Linked DNA regions of Elephas maximus indicus. The main gene of each other region encodes a partner of the protein of the gene in region 2 in a complex. Links are inferred from orthologs where the notes say so. Each region holds a gene or a part of one and is shown on either strand. Other genes may lie near its edges. The genes, in order: APLN and APLNR.

Region 1 (12,114 bases), on a different chromosome or scaffold from region 2:
TCGGGAGTGCTAGCCAAGCTCCCAGGGCTCTGCTGCCTGAGGAAGGAATTAGCCTGCCTCCCCTGGGGGAGCAGTGTGTATTTATAGACCCTAGAAGAGAGGAAGGATGGAGGCTCCTGGGAGACGTCATAGAGGATGTGCAGAGGAAATGAAACTGCTCTGAAATACAAACGGGAGGAACAGGGACCTGTGTGGCTTTGAGAGAGGCCCAAGGATCAGAAGGAATTAGGCAGGATGCAGGGAAAAAGTGGCAACTCTGTGGGGGCTGGGCTGGGGGTGCAGGCGGAAAAGAAATTCTTCTCCTTCTTGGAGGAACCCTCTTAGGGCCTAGCCAACTAGTGAGCAGTGGCCTCGGAGACATAGCTGATTACCTGAATTCCACTGGCATCGTGTTTTTAATGAACATGGTTTTTGCGTCAAGTGAGATGTATCTGTGGGAACCGCTGATGTCTCTTAAATATACAGTGAAACCTGGGTAAGCCAGAACCCGTGTAAGGCGGAAGCCTGTCAGAGAAGGAAATCTCAAATATTTTCCAGTAATAGAGAGTGAGAGAAAAGTGGTAAGACTGCACCCTGTCAAAGGCAGAAAACTTGCGAGACCCAGAAAAACAAGGCAGTCTCGCCAAGTTCCAGCTGTCACTGGTTTCATTGTATAAGCAAACCTGAGAAACGGAAGTAGTTTGCAAAGAAGTTGGAAGAAAAACATTTAAGTGGAGGAACCATTTCTGGGACATTCGGGGCCTGTTTGAGAGTGGCCACAAAGCTGCTCCGTGGAAAGGATTAGGAGGCAGTAGGAGGACCTAGATGTAGCATTAGACAGCACGGATGTGAATAGAGGTGGTGTTGTTGTGCTGCAAAAGGGCTACTTCTCTAATTTTTGCGAAAGTGGTGCCTTTTAATGGTTAGTATTTGACTCTGTGTGCTCGGGGTCGCTATGAGTCGGAATCAACTCGACGGCACTGGGTTTGGTTTGTTGTTTTGGTTGCTTGGGAAAAAGGACAAGTGTGAAAGACAAGACAGTAAGAACCCAGGAAGATCTCTGTCTGTGGCCAAGGTTTGGACCCAGCTGGTGATCAGAATTAAGGGACATTAGACAGCAAGCCAGCGGCCCTGGTGATGCAGTGGTTAAGTGCTCGGCTGCGCATCGAAAGGTTGGTGGTTTAAACCCACCAGCCTCTCTGTGGATGGAGAAAGATGTGGTGATCTGCCTCCGTAAAGATTACAGCTTTGGAAACTCTATGGGGCAGTTCTACTCTGTCCTATAGGGTTGCTAAGAGTTGGAATTGACTTGATAACAATGGGTTTCATTTGGTTTTTTGGTTAGGCACCACCAGGCAGAGGGGAAAATCATACAGTTTGCTGAAGAAGAAACTCTAGCAAAGTCCACCAACCACCAAGTTATTTCCTCCAAGTGGTGATTAGGGTCTTTTGATTCATATACTGCAGTTCCAGGTTATGGTCCACGTAATTAACATCATGTTCTCTGATTAAAATGGTCTCACATCAAAAATGGAATGTTAATCCATGAATAGGCCATAAGCCTTTACCCTATGGAGAAAATGGAGAAAAAATTGAAGTTGTCAAAGATTTCATTTCACTTGGATCAACAATCAACACCCATTGAAGCAGCAGTCAAGAAATCAAATGACGTATTGCACTGGGCGAATCTGCTGCAAGACCTCTTTAGAGTGTTAAAAAGCAAAAATGTCACTTTGATCACTAAGTTGTGCCTGACCCAAGCCATGGTTTTTTCAACTGCCACATATGGATGCAAAAGCTGGACAACAAAAAAAGAAGACAGAAGAAGAATTGATGCATTTGAATTGTGGTGTGGTGAAGAATAAACCATGGACTGCCAGAAGAACGAACAAATCAGACTTAGGAGAAATAAAACCAGAATGCTCCTTAGAAGCAAGGATGGCGAAACTTTGTCTTGCTTACCTTGGACTTGCCATCAGGAAAGACCAATTCCAAAAAAGGACATCATGTTTGGTAGAGAGTCAGTGAAAATGAGGGAAACTCTTAATGAGGCGGATTGGCACAATAGCCACAATAATGGACTCAAACATGTCAAAGAGCATGAAGATGGCACAGGACCTGGCAACATTTCGTTCTGTTATACGTAAGGTAGCCACGAGACAGAGCTGCCTCGACGGCAACTAAGAACAAACAACAACTCTGCCCAGCACTGTGCTGGCTGTTACACAAGTTAAAAGCTCAACTCTAGTCAATGGAATCAGAAAGACAAACACTTAGTAACGAGACAGTGAAAACTCATGTTCTCTGCTGGCGCGTAGCTGAGCAAAGGTAATTTGTCATGGAGCTAGTCAGGGGGACGTCAGCTAGCAGCTGGCTTCTTAGGCTTTTTTCTTTCCCCCAGGTTCCTAATAAGTAATTCCAGAGACAGGGAAAGCTTTGAGGCTCTTCTTAAATACTTTTTACAAGCCTTGAGCATTACGCTCTTTTAAGAACTATCTATGTGGATTCAAATTGACAACAACGGCAACTCCTGAAAGATTAGATAGAAAACTTAGAGGGCAGTGAGTTTATGTTAATGGCTGAGGAACATCTCAGAAAAGGATGAGAATGGTTGCACAACTCTAAGAATGTAATCAATGTCACTGAATTGTACATGTAGAAACTGTTGGAGTACGTTTTGCTGTGTATATTCTCAATGACGACGAAATATAAATAAAATTATTTTTTAAAAAACCAACTTTTTACCAGTGTCGCTGCTACTGAACTTCATTGCCCATTAATTTAGCTTCTGTCTTAGGGAACAAATTGGATGAGCGACATTGGAAAAGCAGCCCTTCCTCCTTATGAGGTGCTCAGAAGGGCTGGGTTCGTGGAATGAGGGTCCTGGGCCTGACCACAGCCGTTTGGGCGCCTTTGCAGCCAGCTGGGAGACTGCTCAGCCAGTAAGCGGTAGCTCCATGGCAGGAAGGCAGTGTGGCACGGAGTGAGAAACAGGAGAATGGAGTGAATTAGACCTGGATTCCGGTCTTGACTTTGCCACCAGCTTTATATGTAACCTTGGGCAAGTCACTTTTCTCCGTCTCAGTTTCTCCATCTGCACAATGAGGGGGTTGGAGCTCTTTCTGTTATGAAATGTTTCTGATTGCACCCCACTTTTTGCATTACTCTGGAAACTCTGGCAGTGTCGCGGTTAAGAGCTATGGCTGCTAATCAAAAGGTTGGTAGTTCGAATCCACTAGGTGCTCCTTGGAAACCAAATGGGGCAGTTCTACTCTGTCCTATAGGGTTGCTATGAGTTGGAATCGACTCCAAAGCAATGGATTTTCGGTTTTGCGTTACTCCAGTCAAAATAACCACTACAGAAGGAGCTTCTTGGATCAAGCAGACACTTGTGACTATGTTGGCATCTCCTATCCTATCTGTAGGGGAGATGAGACAGCAGAGGGGGCCGGAAGCTGGCGGAATGGACATGAAAAGAGAGAGTGGAGGGAAGGAGCAGACTGTCTCATTAGGGGGAGAGCAATTAGGAGTATATAGCAAGGTGTACATAAATTTTTGTATGAGAGACTGACTTGATCTGTAAACTTTCACTTAAAGCACAATAAAAATTAAAAAAAAAAACCAGTACACAATTGGAGGGGTGGGGGGGGGAGACTTCTTTGTATATTTCTGCTAATTGTTGGTGTTGACCCACCTAAAAATCTGTTGGATGAGTTGTGATGATTTTTTCCAAAATCGGATAGTTTTATATGTATCGTAAGCCTAGAGTGATTGTTAATATGACTACACAATTCTTTGTTTCAGTCAATGAACATTTATTATTGAATATCTGCTCTGGGCAAAAGCACTGCTACTGAGAATACAAAAATGAATAAGACATAGTCTTACCATCTGATAAAGTCGGTAAGACATATACACAAATATCTACAAGAATATATCACATTTATACAGTGCTTATTTTTTTATCTTACCATGAGAACCAAGCACCCTGCCAAGTATTTTATAAGTATTAATTCATTTAATTCTTCCAATAACCCAGGGAGCTAGACTCTATCCTATTATTTAGATGAGGAACCTAAGGCTTAAATAGAAAGGATAATTTGCCCAAAGTTACTCATTTAGTAAATGTTGTTGTTGCTGGGTGCCATTGAGTCAATTCTGACTCACAGTGACCCCGTGTGACGGAGTGGAACTGCCCCATAGGGTTCCCTAGGCTCTCATCTTTACAGAAGCAGGTCACCAGGTTTTTTTCTCTTGCGGAGCTGCTGGTAGGTTTGAACCGCCAACCTTTTCGTTTGCAGCTGAGCGCTTTAACCACTGTGCCACCAGGGCTCCTTAGTGATACAGCTGCCTTATTCCAGAACCCATGAGTTGAACCACTTTGGTTCACTGCTTCCTAACGTAATTTAAGACCGAATGAATTAGGTGTTACAAAAGTAAATAAAGATACATGTGGGCCCAGAAAAAACCCTGTTGCTGTCAAGTGGATTCCGATTCATAGCAACCGTATAGGACACAGTAGAACCGCCAAGTAGGGTTTCCAAGGAGTGGTTGGTGGATTCTAAATGCTGACCTTTTGGTTAGCAGCCACAGCTCTTAACCACTGGGCCACCAGGGCTCCATGAGGGCCCAGAGTAGTGAAAAATTGTTATTGAAGCTCATTGAGGAAAGAGTGTGGACTACCAGGTTAGGCAGATCTAGGAAAATTGCTTACCCTCCATTAGCCTCAGTTGCTTCTCTGTAAAGTGGGACAGTAAGGAACAGGACCTACCTCACAGGCGTGAGGATTACATACGCTAATGCATGTACAATAGTGCTTGACACATAGCACATGCTCAATAAATTTGAGGTCTCATCATTATCAGCATCATCATCATCTGTGGGGACAGGCAGAGAGGAATGGGCTGCGACAGGCTTGTGCTCTGAGGCTTCAGTTGGCTCAAAGTGCCGCATTAGCCATAGCGGGGTAGGAAAAAGGCCACGTTGACCATTAACAATAACTCTATCTTATTCTCTTTCCACTACCTCGGTATAGGCAATAGGGATGTTCTTGAAAAGTTTATTCACATATTCAAGTTATTTACTGAGCACTGATACAAGTACTGGGGATACAGCTATGAACAAAACAAAGATCCCTCTCTAATGGAGCTGGCAATTCTGGTGGAGGGAGACGCATAATGAACAAATTGTGCACATACCAGACCCTTTTAAACATTTCAAAAAGTATTTTAAATATGCCATGGTCTCTCAAGTCTCTTACGGTGCACATAAACACGGTCCAAAGTATCTTTTGGGTTGATCTGGACTTGCACGTCAAGCAAACTGCCTGGTCGACTGAACAGAGGAAACACCTTGCGATGTAGTCTTTTAACATGTGTTGAGTGCCACCTATGTGCGGAGTCTGACATTGGGGACTTTGAAGAGAGCCAGAAGATTGAGAACATAAGGTCTTATCTTAGGGGGTTCCCAGTCCAGTACAGGAGTCCTTACTTTGGGACTTTCTCAGGCTGGAGAAGCTAACCGTCTAGTCCCGGGTAGGCACCCAAAGGCAAACGACTTCAGGACCTGCTTACAAAGGGGTATCCCAAATGTGTGCGAAACTAATGCAGCCTAGACTGTTTGGAGGTTGGTGGCCCCACGACGATGGGGAAGAAGAAGGGAGTGCCATAGGAGCTGTTGTTATGTCTAAACAGCGAGAAGAACCAGAGAGGCAGGCCCACCTGGATGACTGTTATCCTGGGAAGGCTTCTGGGGGAGACGGTATCGAGGTGCTCCAAGAATGAAGAGCTCAGGTGAAGGGCAGGGTGGGGTGGGGGCGGCTCTAAGGGGCTGTGGATAGTGGGAGAAATGGGGGGCGCTGATTAACTAATCAAGCCTTGAGCACAAGCATAAGCAGTCATCCCAACTCAAACCCCGTTGAAGATACAGGGGAGAAGAGGCCAGAGTGTGGGAGCCCTGGCCCAGCCCTTGCCGCTGGGGAGCAGCGCAGAGAAGGACCCCGGGTCGGGGTCGGAGGTGGAGGGAATGGGTGGGGGCATCCAGGGCTGAGTCCTTCCCTGAGCGCCCAGGTTTCCCGCCAGCTGTTGAAGAAGCGAGGTGAGAAAGGGTTAAGTGTGCCCCTCCACCGCGCCCCCTGCCCCCCCCCGCCCCAAATGCTTCCTGTGTTTGAAACCCTTCAAGTCTCGGCCAACCCTTTGGCCCTCGGCCAGGCGGGCATTGTCCGGGGAGCAGCGGCGCAGCCTTTGTGGCTGGGCCACCTCGGGGTTCCCGTTGGCGCCCGGGCCGGGCGGCCGCGTGCTTGCTGGGCAGGGGGCGGTGCGGGAGGCGCGCGCTCTCCCGCTTCCTGCCCCCCCACGCCAGCCCTCCCGATGACCACATGACCAAATGGGCGCGCGGCCAAGCCACACGCTACAAAATGCAGCCCCCGGAGTGAGCGGGAGCACTTGCGCTGGCAGCCTGGGCCGCGGGCAGTTGGCGCGGCGGGGAGCGGAGCAGCCCGGCCCTTGGAAAGAGCCCGCCGCGCCTCCGAGCCAGCTTCGCGGCGGGCGAGCGCGGCTGCGGGGGCGGGAGCGCGGCGGCGGCGAGCGGCGGGCAACGCGGCCCGGCGCGCGCTCACCCGGCTGGAGCCGCGAGCTCAGCGCCCAACTGCCCGCCCGCGCCGGCCTCTGCGCCCTGCCCTCTCCGGCCCGGGCCGCCGAGGCAGCATGGACCTGCGGCTGTGGGTGCAGACGCTCCTGTTGCTCTGGCTCGCACTGACCTCGGTGTGTGGAGGTGAGTGCGCGCCCGCGCCCCTCGCGGCCCCACGGCGCTGCGCACCCGCGCCCGCCCCCACCCCGCCTCCGGGCAGCCCGGCGCGAGCCGGCCGCGGCAGCCACGCGCCGCTGACTGACAGGGCGCCTGGGCCAGGCCGGCGCCGCGGGGAACAGCTTCCTCCCGGGCTCGGCTGGCTAAGGGCATCACCTGCCTTGCCGGGCCCCACCTGGCCGCCCGCCCCTCGCAGTCCAGGAACTCCGGGCCGCAGCTTGCGCCCCGCGCCCCTCAGGGATCAGTGGAGGGAAAGAACCGAAGCCGGGTAGGCTGGGCTCACAAGTTGGCGGTTTTCTGGCCCGTGGAGGTCAGGGTCTGCCGACTGGTCCAGGGACGCGGGCCACTCAAGATGCTGTGCCAACATGCAGACGTGACACTTGTTGCATAGGCCGGAGCTGGGCCGGCCAGGCTTCTCCTCCCTTAACCAAGGTCTGGCACAGGAGGCCTTCCCAAAGCTTCCACCGGCCCCAGGGACCAGCTCTTCAATATCCTGGCTCCGGCCTCCCCTTTACCCCGGGCACCGGCATGTTTTCCCTTAGTCCCCCTGTCTTCAGACACCAACCCAGGAAACAGAGTCAGCCTGGGCACCTCCATGCACCTCCTGCACCACGTCTCCCACCTGGCAATACTTGGCTCTGTGTTCCCTTGCAGGCCCCAAGCCTGCTCCCTAGCAGCCCCAGACCGGGTGGCTGGTTCCTCTCTGCGTCAATGTCTCCTGGGCTGCCAGCTCCCACCTCCAGCTGCCACAGTCCTGTGATCTGGCTGTCACTGCTGCTTGCTTGCCTGGCACCACAGAAGGGGAATCCAAGCTGAGGTGGGCTGGTGCTAGGTGCCAGTGCTGGAGTCACAGGGAGGTGGGAGCAGAGGGAAGAAGAGGGCAGGGCAGCAGTTTTCCTAGAGGAAGGGTGCAGGGCCCTGCTGAGTTCCAAACCCTCTAGAATAGGAGAATGGCCTGGCTTGGCCTCCTTCTCTTTGTAGTCAGCGGCCTTTCTTTGCTCTTGCCTTTTGGCACTGCCCTGGCAGTGGGAGCACTGTGACTTCTCTCAAAGGTGCATTGCTTGAGGCTGGCACCCTTTTGTCTTGGGTAACTGTCCAGTGGCCTTCCTCTTCAAGACCTAAGCACTGGGTCAGTCACCTTGGTAAGGAGGGAGCAGATTTTTCCTCAGAAACTCCTGTCAGGCAGGTCAGCCACCTCCTTGGTGAGAAGGGGGCAGACTTTTCCTCAGAAACTCCTGTCAAGCAGGCACTGGTGGGAAAAAACCAAAAGCTGTGAAGGAAGGACACGACACGAGCCTGCCCTCCAGGAGCCTACCGCCCAGTGTAGTTGGCAAGACAAGACACCCACGTGATACCACTAGCAGAGTCCAAGGTGGTGCCTTCTGGGAAGAAAGAGTGGGTGCAGAGAGGGCACCCCAGAAGAAGCTGGGGCATCTCCATCTGCACACTTGATGCTCTCACCAGAGGCTACAAGAGAGACCCTTAGCCAACAGACCACCACCTGAACCCTGTCAGGGTCCAACCATTGAGGCAATACTGGGAACGGGGAGAATATATTTCAAGGGGAGGGAAATTGGCCCGGCTGCCTGAGCCCTGTGTATGTCTGTCCCCAACCCCACCACTTCTTGTTGTAATTCCCCGTTACTCATTTCGTCACCTGTCTTTACACCTTGATTTGTGTAAATTCATTGCCTACATATTTTGCTTAAGTTTAGCACTGGAAATTTCCAAGGTTCCCACTGCCTTCTCTACCTCACCACTCCTGGAGTGGGGGACAGGCACCTCCCTGGTAAGTGGCCCCCAACCAAGGGTGCAGGTACACATGACCTGCTTTTCCTGCCTCCTGTCCTAGGTTAGAGCCAGGGATCCCAGAAACACTTTGTCCTTGACCCAGCCTGGCATGCTGTCCCCAGAAGAGTTCCAGGCCTGAATACCATGCTTCCTCCACTCCACACTCTGTCCTGACTTGGAATGCCCCTCCAACACTCTTCCACTGCCTCCTGACCTGAGATACACTTTGCTTTTCTGAGTCTGAGAGCTGCTGGGCCGGGGCCAAGTGTCCCTTTGTCTTTGAGCACCTTCCTCCCCTCGCCTCCTCCTCCCCTTCCCCAGCCCCAGCTTGAAGCCTGCAGTCACCTTGGTAGTGAGAGGACAGCTTACTGTACCCCCCCTCCCGCTCAGGGAGGGGGCATCTCCACTCATATCCCCAACTGCTAAGTACCCATGTAACCTGAGCCTGGCCTCTCACCAGCAAAGGACTCCACAGGCAAGTGGAGTGGAGAGGCTGCCAGAGCGATGCATCTGAGGGCAGCAAAGCTGGCGCGGGAGGATAGTTCAGGGCACCAGGCTGGAGGGCGAGGCGCACAAAGGGAGGGCACTGCATCCCAGAGACACACACAGTGCCACAGAGCAGTGGAGGGGCCCAGCCTGCATGGTCCCCACCAGAGCACACGTGGGGGCTTTTAAAGCCATCACAAGGCAAGCCAGACAGGGAAAGGAAAAACAGGTGCCTCGTTCCTGGTGAGGAAGATGGGTTCCTGAAAAGGTGCACGTAGCTCTTTGTGCGCTGGCCAGTTTGGAGTTCAAGTTTCGGGAAAATCATCCTAGTGCAGTGAAGTGTATCCCAGGTCAGGAGGCAGTGGAGGAGTGTTTCAAGTCAGGACAGAGGGTGGAGTGGAGGAAGCATCAGTGATGGTTCATCAAAGAGCAAGGAAGGGCTCAAGTCCCTCCAGGGTTGCAGTTCATTGGGAATTGCCCCAGCCTCCCTTTAAGTTAACAAATGTCTGTTGCCTTTAAATCTATTCCGACTTATAAGCTGGAAGAAAATATTGAAGTGGGCTGGGGATGGTGCCATTTCTAAAGGGGAATTCTTTTGTACAGCCAGGATCAACAGCCTCTAATTTGTCTGTTTGGACAGGAGAAAGCCAGGGTTTCAGGTGTCAGCTTATCTTCAGGTGAGCCAGACTCAGAACCAAAGGTAGCGAACAGATGGGTGGCGGAATCAGGGTGCTGGGGGTGCCTGCAGACTTCTGAACACGAGGAGGATGGTGAGGCCCCACCCATTGAGACAAAAGATGCCAGGGCCTTCAAAAGATTGGAGGAGCCAGTACAAATGATATTAGTACCAATCCGTCCTTGCCACAGGGCCTGAAACAGCATTTTTCCTCAACTGGGCCCAAGCCCATGCTCAGTGGCCCTTGCAAGAAGCCACAGTCCCACTGGCCTCCAACAGCAGTGTGGCCCCCTGAAAGTTCAGCCCCCAAAGTGCTGCGAGGGTGGGTAGCTAGGAGGGAACCAGGCCAGCCAGGGACCCCCAAAGGTTCAAGAAGTTGGGGAAGCAGGGCTTGAGGCTAGAAGAAGACAGGCCTAAGGGAGACAAATCACAGGTCCCTCTTGGGTGCTGAGCATATGGAGATGACACCCCCCCATGCCCCCTGTACCCATGGCGTCATAGCCGGTGCTATTGCCACACCCCCAGTAGTCGAGGGTGTGGAAGGGAGAACCAAGGCTTCTCTTACATTTTCAAGGCCTCTGTGGCCCTTCTGGAAACCCTGGTGGCATAGTGGTTAAGTGCTGTGGCTGCTAACCAAAAGGTCAGCAGTTCGAATCCACCAGGTGCTCCTTGGAAACTCTATGGGGCAGTTCTACTCTGTCTCATAGGGTTGCTATGAGTTGGAATTGACTCGATGGCAATGGGTTTGGTTTTTGGTTATGGTCCTTCTTGGTTGCGCAGTGGTTAAAAGCTTGGCTGCTAACCAAAAGGTCAGCAGTTTGAATCTACCAGACACTCCTCGGAAACCTGTGGGGCAGTTCTGCCCTGTCCTATAGGGCCACTATGAGTCGGAATCCACTCGACGGCAATGGGTTTGGAGGGTCCTTCCAAGGAACCCTGGTGATACAATGGTTAGGCGCATGGCTGCTAACTGTAAAGGTTGGCAGTTCAAAGCCATCCAGCGGCTCCATGAGAGAAGGACCTGGTGATCTGCTCCCTTAAAGGTTACAGCCTAGAAAACCCTATGGGGCAGTTCTACTCTGTCACATGGGGTCACCATGAGTTGGAATTGACTCAACGGCACCCAACAATAAGGGTCCTTCCGCTAAGCCTGGCCACACCCTCAGCACAGTCCTTACCACCCTGCATATTTCTCTGATACTGACTCCTCATCAGCCTCATTCCAGTCTACCCTCAGTAGATGGTACAGGCCTTCAGGGGGCCCTAAAACACAGGCCAGAAGCAGAAGCAGCTGGAGTGGGGGCTTAGTGAAGGCCTCGCCCCAGCCCCAGCCTCTTCTCAGAAGGCACAGAGAATAGTTCTATGACAGTCAGACAGAGCACCCCCTTGTCTCTGTCCATCACGACGGCTCTGAAGTGCTGATGTAATTTTTTGTTTGTTTTCCCTTGGATGATGTGTTTAGGGGAGGAGTTGACACATTAACTGACACTGGCCATAGCACAGAAATGTAGTGAGTGAACCAAATGACTTCAGTAAACTGATGGTTTTCCTGGGAAGAGAGAGAGGTGGGAAACGTCGTGTGCCTGGGTCAGCCTGGGTGGAGGGTTAGAGATGAGTGTGTGGGGTGGGTGTGTGTGTCGGGGTGTGAGCGGGGAGAAGGTCAGGCCCTGGGAGCCTGGGCGAAGAGGGCCCTAAGGACAGACCTCGCCTACTTTTGGCCCAAGAAAAGAGTAAACGCCTGGAAATTGTGTGCAAATGGAGGAGGAATCACAAGTGCCAAGGAGCCAAGGAAGGAACCAGAGCATTGCGGGGGTGGGGGGGAGCGGTTGGAGGAGGCAGGGTAGGAGGGTAAGGAGGAGCCCTCAGGGGTATAATGGGGAGCTAGCCGCCATTGGGAGGTGGTATGGAAACTATGACCTAAGGGTAGGAATTCCTGGACGAATGGAAATGGGACTTGAGGGACATGGATATAGCTGAGGGAAATCTGATGGTGGGGGTGAGGGGGAGGACGCTGGGAGTCATTATCACTAGCCTCAGAAGCGCTATTCCTGCAGGCCAGCCTTGGACTGGCCATTGCTCAAGCACCCTGCCAGTCCGCCTCTGCCTCAGCCCATTGACCCACTCTGCCTGCCTCCTGTGGCCAGAGTTTGTCCCCAGAGTGCCAGCTGGATAGTGGGCTTCATGAGAGCAGGCCTGGGTGCCATCTCTCTTGATGCACCCAAGAACACCCAGCATCACTTGGATTCCACTGCCAGGGCTCAGTCTGGCATCAGGAAGCTTATATTCTCAGCCACATGTGGACAGATGGAGAGAGGCACCCCAGAGAGCAGAATAGAAGCCAGCTGGGATTGGAATGGCAGGAATGGACATCAGACCCA
Region 2 (11,584 bases):
CAGGGGGTTCTCATTCCAAACTTCTGGAATGACATCGGGAGTGGGTATTTTTTTTTTTAATTTTTCAAAACATCCAGGATGACTGTTATGGAAGAGCAGGGATTCGAACTTCTGGTCTAAATTGGGTGGGTGCTCACTCGATACTAAATTAATGAATGAATGAATCAATACCCAAACCAAACCCATTGCTCTCAAGTCAGATCCAACGCATGGCAACCCCATGTGTTAGAGTACAATTGCCCCACAAGGTTTTCTTGATTATAATCTTTACAGAAGCAGATTACCAGGCCTTTCTTCCGTGACACCACTGGGTGGATTCAAACCACCAATTCTTAGGTTAGTACCAAAAGCAAACTGTTTGTGCCACCCAGAGGCCTTGAATGAATCAATAAATCAATAGGGGATGATAAATGAACAAAGAAACAAATGAATGAAGTAATGAATGAATGATAAAACTGATAGGTCTACCCAAAGGGAAAAATGTTGGAATTTTTCCCCAGGCCTGTGCTCTGGACTCCAAGCACAGGGGTTTATTCTGTGGTTTTTCAGAACATAAAACAGCCACTCCTTAGTCCTTTATTCCTTTGCCCTCCTCAATTGGCTCCCTATCCGTTCCCTTTCCCAGTGTCCATTTCCTCCACCTTCTCGCCCCCTCTCACTTCTCTTCCAGTTTCCCACTTCACTCCCTCCTTCTGGCTCCCACTTCTCCCCCCAACCATTCTCACCCCACCACCACCCCGCTGTGGCATTTGCGAACTGGGGGTGCTTTCCTTTCCCAATAGACTTTTGTGAGAGGAGGCTCTGGACACAATAGTTTGATAAAACAGTTTTATTTAATGAACCACAATGACTAACAGGGTCAGAAAATAGCACAGACACGGTGAAGAAGGGGCAGGAGGTGGGGAGACGAGGGAGTGTCCCAGCAGGCAGCGTTCCCTACCTTCTCTCCCCAGCACCCCCCTCCCCCGAGTTCCAGGCAGGAAGTCTCTGTAAGTCACCCAGGAGGGCCCCAGAGGGGTACTTTCTTCCCTTCTAGAAACTTCCTCCTGCCCTAACTGATATTTTGAGGACAGCCCTGGGCAGAGTAAGAGAGTCTGTGGAAGATTCTAGTCTGTGATGGGGTAGACTATGCCGAGAGGAACCCCTTCCCCTCTCTTCCTGGCTCTCCCAGGGACGGACGGTCACATCAAGCTGGGCTCTTCCTGCCTCCGTGGCTCTTGTCTTGTCCTTTGTGTCCAGAGTCTTCCAAGAACAAAACCCGGAATATACACCCCGCCCCCATCTCACAAAGGGTCCAACATCAGTTTCTTCCTCAAGGTTTCTCTGGCAGCACGGATGTCATCCATCAGCCCCACCACTGCTGCCCAGCCCCTGTTCCCAGCCCCCAACTCAGCAGGAGAAGCCGAGGGGCCCCACCCCAACGGTAAGCCCAAACTCACCCAGTGCCTATTATCCCATGGCCTCCTTAGGAATAGGGCCACCAATCCTGGGAAAGGGAGAGTGAGTAAGGAAATGCTCATAAGTTCAAAGCAAGGTGGGGAGGCAAGGGAAAGGGGCCAGGGAAGTTTTTAACCAGTCTCTTATTTCCCTCATAGAATTACGGAATGAACAGGAACCCAGCTCATAGGAATTCCCCAAGACTTGGCCACCAGACTGTGCTGCGAGAAACCTCCCAGTAGGGACTCGGGTGCAAACACAGACTTCTGTCTTAATGCACGGACCAGCCGTTAGAGCCCCCAAATCCAGTGGGGAGTGGACTCCGTTTTATCCTATTTGTCCCTTCTCCCTCAAGGATATTGTGCAAAGAGGAGAGATGAGGTGGAGAGTGAGGAGTGGGAGGAGGTTTATCCAAGCGACACAGGTACATTGCTCTTCAGGTTATGAATAGCCATGCTTATATATACACACAAAGAGCAAGCATCCCCACCCCAACCAAATTGACTCTTGGTACCAAGAGGCACCACTGCCCATGTAAACCAGCCCAGGGTGTTGGATTGAGGTGGGGAGTCAGGGGATAGACCCACAGCTAGCAGTCTGAAGGAGGTTCAGAGGGACCAGGATTTGGGGAGGAGAACCAAGCAGCATATAGACTAAACCCAGACAATCATTTAGCTCACTTTCTCTCCTTTTCCTTCTCCCTACCCAACTCCTCGTTCTTACAATGAAACCAAGGAGCCCATAGCTTCATCAGCCCCATTGCCTTCCAATCCCTACAGAGGATAAATGAAAGAGTCCCAGGAAATTTGCAGAAGGCATATCTAACTGGCATCTTAGCCTTTCTGGGAAGGAGCTGGATATTCCTCTAGCCCTCAGTCTGAAATGACACCAAATTGATCCAATTTTAGGGAAAGTTCTGGAGCTCCCAGCTGGCACGCTGCCCACACCTGCTGCAGTCCATTCTCCAACTCTCTCTGGGAACAGAATAAAGAGCTTATAAGCTTCTGGGTTCTTAACCCTTAGAAGCCTTCAAAAGGAAGAAGTAATAAGGAGAGTAGGAGAGACTGAGGGATGGGGACAAGCTCATGGAGAGGCGGTCAGAGCCAGAAGGTAGGGACCGAGAGTGAAGATTGCAGAGAAAGAAAGGAAGAGGTAAGGGAAAACCAAAAAGAGAAAATAGTGGAGACCAAGAAAAGGAATGGAGGGAAGCTAACTTTTATGGAGCCAAGGACTCCCACATCAATATTTTAAGATCAGTATTACTACCTCCACTTTTTACAAATGGAGAAACTGAGGCTCAGAGAGGTTAAGAGGGCATGCGAGGTCAGTCTTAGAGGAACTAAGCATGAGTCTGCAGGTTCAGTCTCCCTCCACTATAACCCAAACCTCTGGGAAGAGTGTAACTTAGTAAGAGAAGGGCCAGATGGAGGTGGGGTGCAGGGAGAAAGCAAAGGAGTGAAGGGCAAGAAGGAAGGCTCGGTCACTCTACCTGATTTTCAGAGAGCAAGGGCAAAGGCTGAGGCAGGGCAGACAGCTCGGGCTGCTCCGGGATCCCAGCCCTAGTCAACCACAAGAGTCTCCTGGCTGTAGGGGATGGACTTCTCTTGCGCCTGCTCCCCGCCCTTCCCCAGGTTGGGGCTGGGCCCCTGGCTGTGCCCCGAGGAGTAGCTAGCCGACTTCTCCCCGCTGCTGCTGTGGGAGGTGCCCCTACACCTGCCGTGGCCCCAGCAGAGCATGGAGGTGCAGGTCTTGCGGAAGCGAGGATCGAAGAAGGCGTAGAGGAAGGGGTTGAGGCAGCTGTTGACGTAGCTGATGCAGGTGCAGTAGGGGAAGACGTTCATGAGGAAGAGGTCGAAGTCGCAGGGCCAGTGCACCAGGCTGCCCAGCATGTAGAGCGTCTTCACCAGGTGGTAAGGCATCCAGCACAGAGCGAAGGTGACCACCAGCACCACGATGATACTGAGCAGCCGGCGCCGCTTCCGCAAGCCCTCGATGCGCTCCTTGCGGAAGTGGCTGGCGATGGTTTGGGCGATGAAGAAGTAGCAGGTCAGCATGATGATGAAGGGCACCACGAAGCCCACGGCAGTGGACGAGACTCCCAGGCCCACCTCCCAGGCCCACTCTGAGCTCGAGGTGGCCACCAAGGAGTAGTCCATGTAGCACTGCACCTTCGTGTTGTTCTCCAGGTTGTCGGTGGAGCGGAAGACCATGACCGGCATGGCCAAGAGGGCGGCCAGCACCCACAGAACAGCCGTGGCCACAGCCCCGCTGACCCGCAACCTCAGCCGTGCATTGGCTACGGGCCTCACGATGGCCAGGTAGCGGTCAAAGCTGAGGCCGGTGAGGCAGAAAACACTGGCATACATGTTGACAAAGATGAGGTAGCTGCTCAGCTTGCAGGCGAAAGTGCCAAAGGGCCAGTGGTAGTCCTGGTAGGTGTAGGTGGCCCACAGTGGCAGGGTCACCACGAAGGTCAGGTCAGCCACTGCCAGGCTGGCGATGAAGATGTCAGCCGAGCGCCTCTTCTCCCGGCTGCTCCGAAACACGGTCCAGAGGACCAGGCCGTTGCCCGTGGTGCCCAGAAGGAAGACCAGGATGTAGATGGCAGGGATGAGGGCCCCAGAGGACTTCCAGTCCGTGTACTCGCACTCGGACTGGTTGTCCGCCCCATAGTAGTTGTCGAAATCACCCCCTTCCTCCATGCTGGGGAGTGGAGAGAAGACAGGCAGGGGACTCTGGGGGTACCAGTTCCGGGGCTGTGTCACCTACTCAGCAAGCACGCTGAGCTTCTAGCTGGAGCCTCAGAGAGAGGGAAAGGGCTGAAGGTGCCTCTGAGTGGACAGAGCCCTTCCCTGAGGCAGGAGGAGCTCCTTCTCAATTGCCGGGACCCCTGATGATGCTCCCATCTGCAGGCTTCCCTCCACCCTCCCGTGCCTCCAGCCCAGCCAAGAGACTTCCTTGCACCCTCCTGAGTCTGTCTCTTCTTGACTTGCCACTCCCTCCTCCCACCTCCAGACCAACCCCTCACTTGTGAGTCTTAAGATCTCTAAGTTACAGCCCACTTGTTTTTTTCCTTCTTGTCACTGGGCAAAGTGGACCAAATTGACCCCTGCTGTACTAGGCAGAATGTTATCTGGGGCTTGCAGCCTGCTGCTCTCCTCCTGGCCCTCCCTCCTCCCTCTAACTGCCACCCACCTTCCCCCCAGCCTGTGTCCCAGCCCCCGGGATTTCCTCTGTACACTGTCTCTGCCTACCTTTTGGGGCACCCCCCGCCTCAGTTCTCTCCACTTCCCTGTTCTCACTCCCTCCCATCCACTCTATATGCAGCAAATTATGCAGATGGAAATCCAGCCTGAGCTGGAGCCGGGGAGGTGGGGGGAGGAGGGTGTGAGATTTCGCTGGATGGTCCCAGCTTTTGGCAAGCCCACCTGGTAGGAGTCTGTCCCCTCCACTCCCCACCCCCTGCACCCCCATCCCCCACCCAGACCAAGCTTCTCTCTGGGACCCTCTTCCCATTCTCTCCATCATGCCGTCTGCTGTACCCCTCAGCCCTGACGCTCTTTCCATAAGCTTTGTGGTTTGCAGACATGATGAAACAGGGATTGCTCTAGAATTCATAAACTGCTGGCAGATCGCAGTTTGCTGATTGCATAGAAAATTTTAGAGGGTCCGGGACAGACTCACAGGCCTAAAGAAACCCCAAACAAAAGGATCTTTCACTGAGTCATTAAATCTATGGGGAAACTGAGACTCACAAGGTAAATGTCTTACCCACGGTTAAAGCCATTTAAAAAGCTTTCAAAGTCGATTGCAACCCTATAAGACAGAGTAGAGCTGCCCCATAAGGTTTCCAAGGAGGGCCTGGTAGATTCGAACTGTCAACCTTTTGGTTAGCAGCCAAACTCTTAACCACCATGCCACCAAGGCTTCTTGTACCTAACACAGTGCCTGGCATATAATAGGTGATCTGTAGATGGTTGTTGAGTGAGTGAGCAGATGGACGAATTAGGGGAATGAGTGTATGAATCACCATGTGATAAAAGCTGGGATACATTTCCGTCCTCAGGCTCTTACATGCCTTGCCTGGTTTTTCTGCCCTCCTTGGACCAGGAGGTCTATATAAGTCCCTGTAGGGGCAGGAAGTTGCAGCTAGAGGAGGAAGCAAGGAATGGGGCAGCCACTGAGCAGCTGCCATGGGCACCGTCCTATAGAAATTCATTTTGCCCTGTCTGGTCACCTCTTCAGGACCTGTGGCCAGGGAAGAGAGCTGGAAGAATAAGGTAAGGTAAACATTCTTTCCACCAACCCCAAAGTAGGGGAGGCTACCTAAAGTTAAACAGGAGTGAGGGAGACCAAAATCAGGAGATGAGTCTACATCCAAGGCAAAAGGCTTCCATGCTAGAATCCGCTGTCTGGAGGGAGGGTTGGTCAGAAATCCTCTGCAGGGGTTTTAAAGCAGGAGTCCCAAACTCAAATACCTACAGGAGCCAGGCCGAATGTGTCTATGGGTAAAGCAGTCAGTTTGAGAGGAGAGGGAGTGGTGGACATTCTGGCAAACCAGAGCATGCACAGTCCACAAGAGAAGAGCTTCTCAGCTCCAGTCTCTGGTTGCCATGTGGAAATGTGGAACCTAGCATTACTACACCTATCTTTTTTCACTTTTCAGGGGAATTTCAAATTCTGGATTTTTTTTTATGAGAAATGTCCTGATTTGTAAATTTAGAGAATTACTTCCATTTAAAAACAAACAAGTTGAACACATCCTTGGGTTCCCAGTTGATGCTGTTTGAGTAGGAGCTTGCCAAGAACAGAAGGTGGGAGAACAACAGGGAGGCTAGACCAGGAGGAAGGGATGTAAAGTGAGTTAGGAGACAGAGAAATGAACGCAAACAGGACAGAAGCCTTAGGGTGCACAGGGAGATACAGGAGTGGAGGCTGGAGAGGAAAATAAGACAGAGCCTGAGGGCCCTGGATGACCTTTACTCTACAGGAATGTGGAATGATTACCATGTTGGTGTTTCTCTTGAGGATTACAGTACTGAGCGCTAGGCATTCTTCCGAACGTTCTATGCATTTTATACACATTTATTATCTCTTTTAAGGAGCCCACGTTAAAGCACTCGGCTGCTAACCAAAAGGTCAGCAGTTTGAACCCACCAGCCTCTCCATGAGAGAAAGATGTGGCAGTCTGCTTCTTTAAAGATTTACAGACTTGGAAACTCTATGGGGCAGTTCTACTCTGTCCTATAGGGTCACTATGAGTTGGAATCAACTCGACAGCAGTAGGTTTTTTATACTATCTCGTAGCTCTTAACCACTACCCCACCAGAGTTTCCACAACAGTACTACAGGGTAGATACTTTCATTAGCTTCCCTTTACAGATAAGGAAACTGAAGCACAAGAAGCGGAAGTAACTTGGCCAAGGTCACCCAGCTCGTAACTGACAGAGCCAGAATTTGAGCCAAGGCTGTCTTGAGCTCATAGACCGTACTACTATCCCCCCCAAAGAAAAAATTCCAACCCTTTTTAACATTTGGGAGTTTGGGATCTGTTAAGCAATATAGAAATGTAGGACTATACTAGGATAACTGTAATTTTCTTTAAAATAAGCTGTCTTGGGGCAGTTCTACTCTGTCCTGTAGGGTCGCTATGAGTCAAAATTGACTCAACGGCAACAGGTTTGGTGTTTTTTTGGGGGGGGAGGGGATGAAGTTAAAAATAGATTGACTATCTTGAAGACATGCTGAGTGAAATAAGTCAGTCACAAACAGACAAATATTGTATGATCCCGTTTATATGAGATATCTAGAATAGGCGCGTGTATAGAGACCAAAGTCTATTAGTGGTTCCCACGCGCGGGCAGGAGGGAAGGGGAAAGGAAGACACAATGCTTAAGTGACACTGAGCTTCTGTTAAGGATGATGGAAAAATTCAGGAATGGTGATGGTTGGACAGCATGATGAACATAATGTTAGTGAACTGTATGTGTGAAGATTATTGAAAAGTCAAATGTTTTCTTCCTATATATTTACCACAATGAAAAAAGAAGAAAGAGTAGATTGACTAAAATATTTTAAGGACGGTCCCCAGCCTGGAACGAACAAAGTATAAAAATCCTGCTAGGCTATGATCTGCGCCTTTAGGGTCAGCATCCTGGGGTTTCTGGTTGCCCGGTGCCAGCTGCAAGGTCTGCAAAATGGTGCTGGGGACACCCAATAGGACCAAGAGCTGGAGCCTCGCTGCTCTCCCAGGACACACAAAGGAACTGTTGGGGGGCTGTCTGCTCCTGTATGTCTGGCTAATAGACATCTGCGCAGGTGGCAGAATGGCCTTCATTATCACTTGAGTGCCAAATTGGGTAGAAATGGTTAACCTTCTGCCATGTCAGGCTTCTTTAGCGACTGCCTTTATTTACCAAAAGGGACCTAAGCATGGTGCAGGACTCTTGGGCCCAGGTCAGGTCACAATAGGTGGCCCTGTTATGAATACGGATGATGGATTAAGGCCAAATTTGAGTCTCTCCATGTTCTCAGACCTTCCCTGGGTCTCCCAGGAAAATGCAGGTACCCCTCCCTTTGCTGCTAGGAACGGGGAGGAGAGAAAACAAGCTTAGTGTCCCGGCAATCAGGCCCCATTTCCCTAACCCCCCTCCCCCAGCTGCTCCCACTTGGAATCTGAGCCAGATGGGAGCCTGGAGACCCTGTGGGAAAGGATAGGGATTCAACTCTTTAATCCTCTGGCCTCTGAGTTCTTTGCCCCAGAGGGGGTAAAGAAGGAGTTAATCTCACCCAAGGAATCTGGGAAAGAGACTCACTGAAAGGGGAGGGAATTGGGGGCCAGGCCTAGGAGGGGGCCACTGATTGGGGCCAAGGGTGGGGAGGGTGGGTAGAGTGTTGATAAGATCCAGCCCCTTGTCACAGCTGGCTGGAGCCAGATTGTAGACATGCCCCCAGGAATGGCAGCCACATATGCAAAATCACCCAGCCTCTCTTCACCCAGCCTGATTCTCGAAGTCCTGTCTTGATCTGTCCCTTTCTCATGGCGGACCATCCAACACAGAATATGAAAGACTCGTAGGGCCAGTAGCTGGAGGCTGACCCTGTGCGCCCCCAGGGCACCGAAGTTAGCCCTCTACTAGACAGCAAGTCCTGGGGAACAGAGACTCCCTGCTTCTCATTTCTGCAACCCCCTCAGCTTGGCACCTGGTTAATGTCTGTTGAATTAAAGCAATAGAAATTCACTCAGGAGGATGGGTCTCACCCCAGGGCTACTCTGCTGCATTAACAAGGGTACCGTTTTGCTAAAGTTCACCCGAATCCTCCATGCTGAGCCATTTGGCAAACCAGTAGCTAAGGCAGGACTGCTGGGCCCAGTCCCCAGCTGGTCTGCCCTAGAGAGGGCAGAGTGAGATTCCTCAAGGACTTCTCTCTCTCCTGGGTGATTTCTCCAGGGTGCTGTCATGAGACTGAGATGAACAGCTCCTGGCAGGACAGTGCCCAGACTTGCCACAGGGTTCTTTGAAGAGAGCCCAGACTGCTGGAGGCCCCTGGAGTCAGCGACTCTAGTCCTCCCCCCACTCACCACCCCCTCCCTGCACATTTTGTCCCTGGCCTGGAACACTGGGACTGGCTGGGCCCTGTGCTGGTGGCTGTGTGCAGCTGTGTGCACCCTGTGAGTACAGGTGTGCATGCATTCCTGTGTGTATGTGTGTGTGGAGACACACCATGTGGTTGCTGGGCATGACGTCTACTTGTGCCTGCACCTGTATGTATATGGGAGCGTGAGCGCTGGGTCCATGCATTCATGTGCTGACCCATGTGTAGGGTGGTCAGGGATCAGGATAAACATCTTTCTTGGAGGCCAGGAAGGGGTGGTTAATTGGATCTTGCTGAGGGTTTGGGATGAAGGGAGAACAGCTGAACTCCTCTGCCTGGGCCCTCACCCAGACCTTGCCAGAAGCTCTGGGCTGTGGACATCAAAGTGGAAAGGTTGCCATTTGCTGCCCCTCGCTAACTTCTCACCTCCTCCCTCTAGCTCTCTGCTCCATCCCCCTCACTTCACAGGTCTGCTTTGAACTCAGCAGCTTCAGACCTCACCAGGGTAACAGGGCCCTCTCCCCTCCTTCCCATGAGGCCACAGCTGTGTCCCTAACAGCTGGTGGTGTTGTCTGAGGGAAAGGGGAGGGAGGGCAGGGACACAGGCAAAACGAAGTTTGGCAGCCCAATCCCACACTCGGGAATTCCCTCTCCCTCTCTCCAGACACATAACCCCCCTCGCATCCCAGCTTTATAGACACACACACAGGCTCTCTCACACACGTCCTACTTTAGCAGCTTATCTAACCAAAAACAAATGGCCAGCTGCACTCTGACGATTAAAACAGACAGACAACACACCATACCCAGCAACCCCTGATTGCCCGGCCATTTGGCACACCTGCAGACTCCCAGGCAATAGAGCCCTGGGCTCTAACAGTGAAGGCAGGAAAACCCACTGGCCCCGGAGACAGGAATCTTCAGTTCTGATCCCATCTTGGCTGCTAATCCCTTCACTCAGCAAATACTTATTGAGCAGCTGCTATGTACCAGACCCTGTTGCAGGCACTAGGCACACAGTGTGAACAATTCTGACCGTGCCACAGTCTCCCAAGTGTACAGTCTAGACATGGGGAAGAGAGGAGAACACAGACATCAGGAAAAAATGTGAAGAACCCAGTGATAATCACCACCAAGAAAGTTAAACTGGGTGATGAGACAAAATAAATGGAAGGAGTATCTTAGATAGGGTAGACCAGGAAGGCCTCTTGAGGTTGCTGGCCTTCTAGCTAAGACCTGAATGGCCAGTTTTCCTATGTGACCCCCAGGGCAAGGCTCTTGCCCTCTCTGAGCCTCAGTATCCCCATCTGTACATGAGGTTGGACCAGGCAGGTCTAGCTTCCTGTGATTCTGGGAATGGTAGCAGTGGCTGCCGGAAGTGGTTGGAGAAGTGATTTTCTTACTAAAGAGGCCAAACAGAGCCTCTCGGTAGAGCAGTGCGATGGATAGATGGGATCCATTTTCCCCACTGTGACCGCAGGTTATTTGTTAGACCTCAAACAACAGGGATCTGGAAGCCTTTCTTTATCTCTCACCGACCCCCTCTCTCCCACTCATCCACCATCACCCACCTATTCCCCCATTATTTAACACAGGACTCTATCCATAGCACCAACCAAAATCAAACCAGTTGCCAAAGAGGCAATTCTGACTCATGGCAACCCCATGGGTTGCAGAGTAAAACTTTGCTCCATAGGGTTTTCAAGGCTGTGACCTTTTGAAAACAGATCTGTAGGCCTTACTTCCAAAGCACCTCTGGGTAGGTTCAAACCACCAACCTTTGTGTTAGTAGTCGAGTGCTTAAACATTTGCACCCCCCAGAGACTCTTCAATACATTTTTTAAGAAAAAAAATTTGTTGCCATCAAGTCGATTCCAACTCATAGCAACACTACAGGACAAAGTAGAGCTGCCTCATAGGGTTTCCAAGGAGTGGCTCGTGGATTCCAACTGCCAACCTTTTGGTTAGTAGCCATAGCTCTCAACCACTGCACCACCAGGGCTCCCTTCTATACGTAGCAGACCTCTAATAAATACATGGGAATTGCTTGGCCCGAGCCAGTAGGACCACGGTTCCTATAGCCTCAGAAGCAGTCAGGGCCTTTGTTAAGACCACCTGGGTTAGGGAGTAGCTTCCTATGACTTAGAACTGGAGAGACTCCTAAACTTCCTTAAAGCCATTGACTCTCAAGCTGAGGTTCTAGGACCTAGAAGGTAGTCTTGGAGGAGAGGAGGTAACAGGGAGCCAGCATCAGTATTTCACAAAATCCTTCAGAAATGGTGCATTTCTCCCTTAATAAGACAACCTAGGTCTCCAAATGCCAAGTGTCAGCACCTTGGGCTTGAATTTTTTTTTACCTGTAAACATTTTTATCTTTGTATATCTGGAGCTAACATTTTTTTGGATTGCATTCCCAGTAACAGAGAGATTTGAAGCCAGCATAAAAAGGTTCTTTCTCTGACCTTAGAAATGGTTCTCGGGGGAGGTTTTGCAATCTTGCAAATGTCTTTGAGGAGCAGAGAAGAGTCATCTTTCTGAAGCAGCACCTACA

Evidence for each region.
Region 1: the proteins of APLNR (region 2) and APLN are in contact, whole or in part, in a cryo-EM structure (PDB 8XZG), measured with the Homo sapiens proteins. The link is inferred for Elephas maximus indicus from reciprocal best matches to the Homo sapiens genes APLNR and APLN. Residues at the interface, in NP_005152.1 of Homo sapiens: Tyr35, Phe78, Trp85, Tyr88, Thr89, Tyr93, Ser106, Ile109, Phe110, Met113, Pro163, Val164, Arg168, Gln180, Cys181, Tyr182, Met183, Tyr185, Glu194, Glu198, Leu201, Gly202, Ser205, Tyr264, Lys268, Tyr271, Ser275, Cys281, Asp284, Leu285; in NP_059109.3 of Homo sapiens: Arg66, Pro67, Arg68, Leu69, Ser70, His71, Lys72, Gly73, Pro74, Met75, Pro76, Phe77.

The regions. Positions count from the first base shown.
Region 1 is NC_064846.1:26,786,827-26,798,940, forward strand, and holds the start of APLN (apelin), read left to right. Parts: upstream 1-6,603; 5' UTR 6,604-6,683; coding exon 6,684-6,750; intron 6,751-12,114. UniProt on the Homo sapiens protein: Peptide hormone that functions as endogenous ligand for the G-protein-coupled apelin receptor (APLNR/APJ), that plays a role in cadiovascular homeostasis. Functions as a balanced agonist activating both G(i) protein pathway and beta-arrestin pathway of APLNR.
Region 2 is NC_064825.1:118,643,590-118,655,173, forward strand, and holds APLNR (apelin receptor), read right to left. Parts: upstream 4,427-11,584; 5' UTR 4,140-4,426; coding exon 2,997-4,139; 3' UTR 738-2,996; downstream 1-737. UniProt on the Homo sapiens protein: G protein-coupled receptor for peptide hormones apelin (APLN) and apelin receptor early endogenous ligand (APELA/ELA), that plays a role in the regulation of normal cardiovascular function and fluid homeostasis.